Nothobranchius furzeri: one gene and its partner. The protein of the gene in region 1 interacts with the protein of each later gene in a pairwise test. Links are inferred from orthologs where the notes say so. Each region holds a gene or a part of one and is shown on either strand. Other genes may lie near its edges. The genes, in order: psmg1 and proteasome assembly chaperone 2.

Region 1 (3,819 bases):
GAACCACCCTGAGTGCCATGAAACAACAAGTGATTTATGATTTATCATCTCCAGCCTCACACAGAAACATCTCTCTAATAAAACTCTAAAAGGACAATCAACCTGGGACGAAGTAGTAGTAGCAGTAGGTCTAGAATTAAATCCTCAGCTAAATGTGCTAATTTGTGAGACTGATGAGTGAAAGTGAGCCTTAGCAATGCTTCTGACATGCTCATGTTAAAGAAAATCCGAGCACACCTGCAGCTGGAAGTCCTGTAACTATGTTTGGCTGCTCCAGTGGCTGGCAGACAGGCTGATCACTGAAAGCACTGGTGTGGAGAGCTCGCAGGAAGGGAGCAGAGCTGCTGCACAGATAGTCTGCCGTCTTGTAATCAGCCACCGAGCCATCTGACAGCACGGTCACAGTCAGCTCCCTGGGCTGCAGGCAGTCAAACACCTGCAAGAGACGATGACAGCGAGACCAACAAAGCGTTGTGTTACACATCATCTTCCATCATTAATGGAGGCAATATGTGCTGAAATAATATCCCCTAAAAACAGCATTCTTGGCCAAAGTCAGCACAGATCGTGTTGTTGATGCCAGATTTTACTTGTGTATCTGTGTTTTGGTGGCTAATTCTGACATGTGTGAGAGCTGCCAACATTTTCCCAATTTGCAGTTGTCAAGTTCTGAGAACTTGCGCCCATTATAAGCCAAGGTCAAACAAAAAAAAGAAATTAGACTCTATGCTGAAAGAAGTGAAATCTGTCAGTCCTCTGCTGCTGCAGCAGCAAATCAATTTAAAGGTTGATTGTATTCAGAGTATTTTCTAATTCTCAAGCCAGCTCATCTGGCACCAATCAGCAAGATCTCCACCCTCCTGTTTGCTCTAAAACAACAAAACCTCAACAAAAAAACCTCGGGCCATGTTGTTTGCTGTTTAAATGAAGGATGACCTAGTTGGTGTGGTATCAACACTCTTATTTAACGACATATGTGCAGTTCTTGCGGTGTCCCATTGTGAGGTTTCACAACAGATTAAAAAAATCCGCAGCCTCATCAGGCTGATTGACAGTACCTTTTCAGTCCACTGAAACTGTTGATCTTCTGCGACGTAGCAAGTCACATGGCATATCAAAACCTTTAAGGGGAAAACAAATATTTCACATCAAAACTCACAGATAAAATCAAACACAGGCATCTATCTGCAGGTCGGTTAATGCCGAGGGTGTTTTCAGCACGCACGCGGTGCAGGAGAGTTAGAAAGATGGATTCAGGTTTTTAGTAAAAGTCTGTCGCTGGGTGAATTCATTTAGGTTATTCAGGTTTAACGGGTCTACCAAACAAAAAGAAAGTAGACACATGAAGCACCAGTCCCTAGGGAATGATTAAATAATTAATAAATGATCTGTTTGAGGATTTGATAAGTTCAGATCAGGGGCCTCATCTATCAAGCTTGCTTACGCACAAAACGGGGTCGGAAAACTGCGTAAGCAACTTCCACGCAAACTTTGGGATTTATAAAAGAAAACTTAGCGGAAAAATGTGTGCAACTTTAAGTTGACTAAGGACCTGGCTTACGCACATGTTGGACATGGAGAGCACCTGCAGTGCTGCTGCTGAGAAGGATAAAATTATGAAATCCTGCAGCATTATACCTTGTACTGCTTTGTTTTCACACAGAACAAGACCCCCACACGCGCACATGCACACATGCACACACACACACACACACACACACAGCCTGAAGCACAGAGTACGGAATGCAGAATATCAGCAGGGGGACAGATTGAGACAGAATGTCATGCGTCTGTGACAGTGTGTGTGTCCTGTCACTGTGACCCGATTGATCATGCACCCTGGCTGCTTGGACAAGGGAGATCTCCGTTTGGGTGACTGGCTAGTGCGTGTGACTTTCACCAGGGAGTCTGGGGATTGAATCCTGATTGGACCATTTTTTTTATATCCGCCACAGATCTCTCTGAAGAATTCACAACATTGACGGCTTCAGCAATGCTGTGCCACTCCGTGGATTTTCGCTTATTTGTTTTGCAAAAGCACTTCCTTTCATTTCTTCACCTCACCCACAGGTACCGAAATTTCTGCTTCTGTGAAATTGTGCTTCCTTGATCTGCCTTGATCTACGGTCGCCATGTCATTGGCGAAGCACTGCAACAGCCGGCTTATGTATATGCATGAGATCCACAAGGCACTTTGCATTGACTATTTATGGCAGTAAGTGGGCGGGGTGAGGGTGGGATGTGACTAAAAAGCAGCTGAGAACCTTTCTAGATAGTTTCTGATTTATGAAGCGGAGATTGCGTGAAGCTGTGCGTACTCCACGTTTGATAGATCACAAACCTACTTGGCGTAAGTACTTTTTTTTTTGCTGAGCTTAAGAACGGTTTTAGTAAGGATTCTACACGATGTTTGATAAATGAGACCCCAGATCTGCATCAGATAACTTTTTTATTTGAAAACCAACTACTGGTAATAATTTAACAGTTTCACTTATTTTAATATATCCATCCATCCATTTTTGTAACCCGCTTTTCCATGTAGGGTTGTGGGGGGCTGGTGCCTATCTCCAGCTGTCTTTGGGCAAACAGGCGGGGTACACACCCTAGACAGATTGCCAGTCCCTCGCAGGGCAACACAAGGACACACAACCATGCACACACACACACTTAAGGACAATTTAGAGAGACCAATCAACCTATCGGTCATGTTTTTGGACTGTGGGAAGTGCACTGGAGAGAGCCCATGTGTGCACAGGAAGTAAATGCAAACTCCATGCAGAGAGACCCCAGGCTGGGATACGAACCCAGGACTTCCCTGCTGCAAGGAAACAGCGCTAGCCACTGCGCCACTGTGCAACCCTTATATTAATATAATAAAACACAAATCAAATCCTTTTCTTCCCATTACCAGGGTGAACTGACCTCTCCTTACAGCCCAAAAACCACATAAACTGACCTCAATCCTGTGAAAACTGAACCAAAATATGCCACCTTTATAGTGGGAATAAAAGGACTTTCAGTAAACCGGTGATTCATAAATATTTTGTGAACAATCACGCTTATCTGCTTCTGTCGTCCCTCCGTTTGTTAAAATCCCTGCAGCCCTCTGAAAGAAGCAGGACAGGTGTGATAAATCTGAAGCTTCCGCTGCAGCACACAGTCATTATCTGCATTCATCTTGATTAAATCAAACGTGAAGGACGTAAGGCAAATACAACAAAGGCACGCACACGCGCGCGCGCACACACACACACACATACACAACTGGCTGCTTGAAACTCTAAATTCTGACACTTAATCCAACATGATTTTCTTCTCTTGTAATGGCCTTTGATGAAGTAAAAAGGATCATTTTTGTCACAAGTATTCATCAACACGTAGCCTGCAGCTGGACAATAATGACATTAATAGAAACATCTCTAACAGCACAGGAGACCAATTAAAGGGAGGATGAGGAGCAGAAGTTCTCAACAGTCATGTGCTTTCTGAGGTGTTATTCAGCAGCAGATATATTCTGAAGTGTTGATTTTCTCAGTGTGTCACTCACTGCTGGGGTGTCCTTGTGTCGGTAGAAAACACATGCCGACTCCTCGCTGGTCTGCCCGGTTGCAGCACGGCTCCTCTCGTTCCACACCAGCGCTCGTCCAACTGCGTCCCACTTTGCAGAGGCGAGAACGTACGCTGACAGAAAGCCTGCAAGGACAGATCCTCTCAGTATTCAACAAACAGCTCGCATGAGAAAAGAGTGGGGCATTTTTCAAGCGACAAACTGTGTTGGAACATTTTAATTTCATCTTATAGCTGGAGCTCAGAGTCTCA
Region 2 (4,334 bases), on another chromosome or scaffold:
ATCCAGGTTCAGTGACTTGTACAGAGTGAGAAGCACTCTGAACCAAAAGAGCTACCACAGCATTCTCCAGTGCCAAGCAGTACCCTCTGGTATATGCCTAGTTAGTCAGGGGTTCTTCCTACAGCAAGATAGCAACCCAAAACATCATTGCAAGCTACGCCAGAACTACCTCAGCAAAAAAGAACAAGATGGTAAGCTTGTAAAATTGGAGGGGGCAGCACAGTCTCCAGACTTAAACCCCATCGAGCTGGTTTGGGATGAACTGGACAGAAGAGTGAAAGCAAAGCAACCTACAAGTGCCACACATTTATGGGGCCTTCTGCAACAGATATGGGAAGAGCTTTCTGAAGAATATTTGATTTCTATTGTAGAAAGAATGCCACGAGTGTGTTCAGCTCTGCCAAAGGTGGCTACTTTGATGAGTCAAAAGTTTAGAACACATTTTCGTCTATAAATTGATTCCAAGATTTCTTTTTTTTTTAAACTCCAATTGCTTATTTGTACTATGCTTTCATTTGAGAGTGCAATGTAACATAACTGCATTATTTCCAATAAAAAACTGGAAAAATTGGGGTGTTCTAAAACTTTTGACCGGTATATATATATACATAAATATATAAATATAAATATATATAAGAGAGAGAGAGGTATAGTGTAGAGTTCAGGGGAAGTTCAGCTGAGCATTACAAGATAAATGCTGAACGTGTTTGTCCCTCCTGATGTACTAAAGTTTACATGGATAAAGTTACTGCCTGCCTGCTTTTTAACTAGAAAAGATAACAGCAAAATAGTTTCTTGAAGATTTATCACGATTCATTTAATTGTAGTTTCACTTGTGTTTGGAGCATCTTAAAACGGTTTATATGGTCTTGTAGCCCAGCCTCTGTTGTCTTGGTAAAGATAAGGTTATAAAGTGTGATGCTAAACTTTTCTGGGGGACGCTCCAGCAAACAGCATTTCTGCAAGAAATGCAATTCATCTAGTAAATTATATAAATGCAATAAAACTATATAGAAAAAATGCAAAACCGTAAAAAATTTACTTCTAGTGTTCTGGTAGTACTTTTCTTGGCTACGTCTCGATTTAAACCGACTAAAAATAAATGTGTTTTGAGCTGAAGAGGGCTTTTTCAATGTGGCTCCAAAGCCCTGCACGTAGTTGCTGCGTCAAGTGGACCCCCGTTGTCAACACACACGCGCACATTTTATTATGCATTTAAAATAAATGCGACATTTAGTAAGGTATATTACTAAAATAAAAATGAATGAATTTTAAACAAGATTGATTTTTTTCATTCCTTCTATGGCAGAGCTTTTGTTCTGCCCGCTGATTTGCCTGATTAAAATGCAAAGCACATATAAAAAGTATAAATATGCCTTAATGTCCATTACATCACATTAAATATAGAGTAATAGGAGTAAGAACGTACAATCAAATTTAACATGTTTATATTTTTACTTAAGCCTTGCTGTTTTTATTTTCGTCAGGCACCATTAAGCATCCTAAAAACTGTTAAGGTCCTCAGTCTAAACAAGGAAGCATGAAACTTTCTGAGAAAGCTGTCCACAAATTCGGATTTTATTCAATTTAGCTGTTTTTCGTTGCGTATTTTTCTTATTTAAATTGATTTCCTACTTAATAGCAGAATGTTTATCTCTTCACAAAACTCACCGGTCGCCTTCAAAGGTTTCACCCTCGTCATGGTGAGTATGCCTGGGCAGTCAATCCTGTCATTTCCTTAGTTTGTCACGTTTTTACTGCTAATCAGTAACTCATATAGTTATTTGGTGTCACAAATGGAATTAATGGGAGTATTTGTAAAATAATGCTAATAAAATTGTTTGCTAATGTTTTTTTTTAGGTAGGAGTTGCATCTGATTTATTGAACTTTGCTTCTTTACAGCTTCTTCTCAGTAATTTTCTTGTAGCTGATTGCTTAAAATAAAATAAAAAAGCCTGATTTTAAAAACGGGAATTAAATAGTAACTATAGGAAATACATCTAAAGTATACAAAATATTAATTCTTTCCTTTGGTTTGTTAAAAGCCACGTCGTCACTTTAAGTACTAGAGCATGCATTTGAGTATTTATTATTAGTGTTAAAGGATTCATTTGTAGTTATTTTGTCCAGACAGATCAAAACGAATGTAGATATCAAGAGCTGTATTTGGTAAAACTGTTGGCCAAATACGCCTGTGACATTATTTTATAACGTTTTGATAAGACTTAAATGAAAACTACAAAAACATTGAGATGAGGCAAAAGTACAAGTCTAAATGTGTACTTTCAGTGTGGTACCTGGCTACCATTTCCGTTCTCAGAGAAGAAAAGCAGCTTATCTTGACTTTTGAGAAGCTGGAGGTAGAAATGCTGATTGAATTTTTTTTTCTCTCCCTAGCCTGCAGTAGCTGTGGGGAACGTGGGTCAGCTGGCTGTCGACCTCATCATTTCCACTCTCAACTTGAGTAGAGTGGGTTACTTACACACAGACTGTCTGATTCCGATGGCCGGGAACAACCCATACAGCACCTGCAAAGAGGACGCTGAGGGGTTGCACTGTCCCGCAGAGGGTAGCGTCTCATTACTGACCTTTAATGGATCTAGAACTCTGTAGAGTGATCACTTCATTTCTTCCAGTTTAAAAATTAACATTTTTTGTTTAGTTTTCACAGCAGCAGAACGGAAGTTGGCAGTTCTTCAAATCAGAGTGCCGATTATTCAGGTACATTTTCTTTTTTTTTTTTTTCCAACAAGTTTTTATAACATTGACTGAATTCATATCCTATAAACTTTGTTTTCACTGCAGAAAAAGTCTAAGAAGTTCCGTCAGATGCTCGTTTCCTGGATCAAATCCAGTGGCTTCTCAAGGACTGTGGTCCTCTCCAGCAGCCACGCCTACCAGAGAGATGACCAGCAGCTGCATGGGTAAACATCAACACCATCCATCTTTTTGTCCACTTCTGCTCTTTAAAGTCGTTTCTAAGTGCCGATGAGTAAAATGTGCCTGTTTAGGACTCCCTTGAGGTATCTGGCAACCCCGTCCCTACTGAAGGTGAGCGTGGACACACTGAAGGAGCTTGGCTGGAGAGAGATGGAGCGAGTGCCGGCATTTCCTGGAGTGAAGGACGCTGATGCAGAGCCAAGACTGTGCATCCCAGGAGGAGGCATCACCAAAGGGCTTTACTCCGACAGGTAGATAGGGAAATAACTAAAGAAAACCTGAGGAGACGTTTAAAAAATTTGCTCCTCTAAAGATGAGGAAGACAGCGGGGTTTGACATTTTTTGTGATGTTGGGAGAATTTAGGCACTTAGGACACACCAAACCAAAGCTTTTTCATGGTTTTGTGTTTTCTTTTCACATTTGCACAATTCTTACTCAGAATTACAAAATGTAGCATTTTCCTTTCTTTTCTCTCCTCCTGATCACATGTCCGGTCGTGTGTTCAGCTGTTTAGCTGAGGACCTCCCACTCGCTGTGCTGCTGCTCTTCTGTTCAGAAGGTGACAACATCCCAGACGCCTTTGCTTTGGTCAACCACCTCAACGACTGGCTCCATCTGCTGGACACTCTGGTAATCTACAGATTTCACAAAGAGCCTTTTTATGTAGACTCAATCAGATTTGAAATTCCCAACAATCATCTGATCCTCCTTCCAGGGCTGCGAGTGCAAGTGGAAGATCCCGACTTCCTGGAGTCTCCTGTTTGGATCAGGCATTCCTCCTGCTCTGTTCTGATTTGCTTTTCTTTCTTTGATCCTAAATATATTGACTCAGATTTGCAAAAATATTTTGTTCTACTTGTAAGATGTTCCACGTTCCTGAATAATTCTCTTTCTTCTGCTTATTTGGATGTGCCAACATGACAGGAATAGACTCTTATACTGCACTTTGCTCTATGACTTGGCTGTCTAGAATTATTTTTTCTTTAATTGAGAGTGGTGGGAATAGGCTTACACACACACACACACACACACACACACACACACACACACACACACACACACACACACACACACATAATTTAAGTACTGATTAGTATATGTGGGTAATTTTAAAATTGAACCTACGTTTGCAAAAGGCTGGAGCTGGTAAACCATTTTCCTTTTGTCTACTTTCAGTTAAAGACAGATGAAATGAAATAAAGGGGTTAAATCAAAGAAAACCAGTTTTCCATCCTGTAATAAAAAAGCACATGGCCAGAGATGAAATGCCAGCCGAGCAGTGAGGGCACCGTGTTCTTGAAAGTGCGAGACATTAGCTAATCTGCTGGGGGAATCGTAACAAGTGTAGCTTTCCTGGAAGTCATGTTTTTAAGTATGAGGGGGTGGCTGCAG

Evidence for each region.
Region 2: the proteins of psmg1 (region 1) and proteasome assembly chaperone 2 interact in binary tests that used the Homo sapiens proteins (3 or more experiments, as listed by UniProt). The link is inferred for Nothobranchius furzeri from reciprocal best matches to the Homo sapiens genes PSMG1 and PSMG2.

The regions. Positions count from the first base shown.
Region 1 is NC_091750.1:52,547,706-52,551,524, forward strand, and holds part of psmg1 (proteasome assembly chaperone 1), read right to left. Parts: intron 3,694-3,819; coding exon 3,548-3,693; intron 1,122-3,547; coding exon 1,059-1,121; intron 437-1,058; coding exon 238-436; intron 1-237. UniProt on the Homo sapiens protein: Chaperone protein which promotes assembly of the 20S proteasome as part of a heterodimer with PSMG2.
Region 2 is NC_091742.1:8,407,502-8,411,835, reverse strand, and holds proteasome assembly chaperone 2, read left to right. Parts: upstream 1-1,517; 5' UTR 1,518-1,646; coding exon 1,647-1,703; intron 1,704-2,398; coding exon 2,399-2,570; intron 2,571-2,663; coding exon 2,664-2,722; intron 2,723-2,806; coding exon 2,807-2,925; intron 2,926-3,012; coding exon 3,013-3,192; intron 3,193-3,448; coding exon 3,449-3,572; intron 3,573-3,657; coding exon 3,658-3,735; 3' UTR 3,736-4,020; downstream 4,021-4,334. UniProt on the Homo sapiens protein: Chaperone protein which promotes assembly of the 20S proteasome as part of a heterodimer with PSMG1.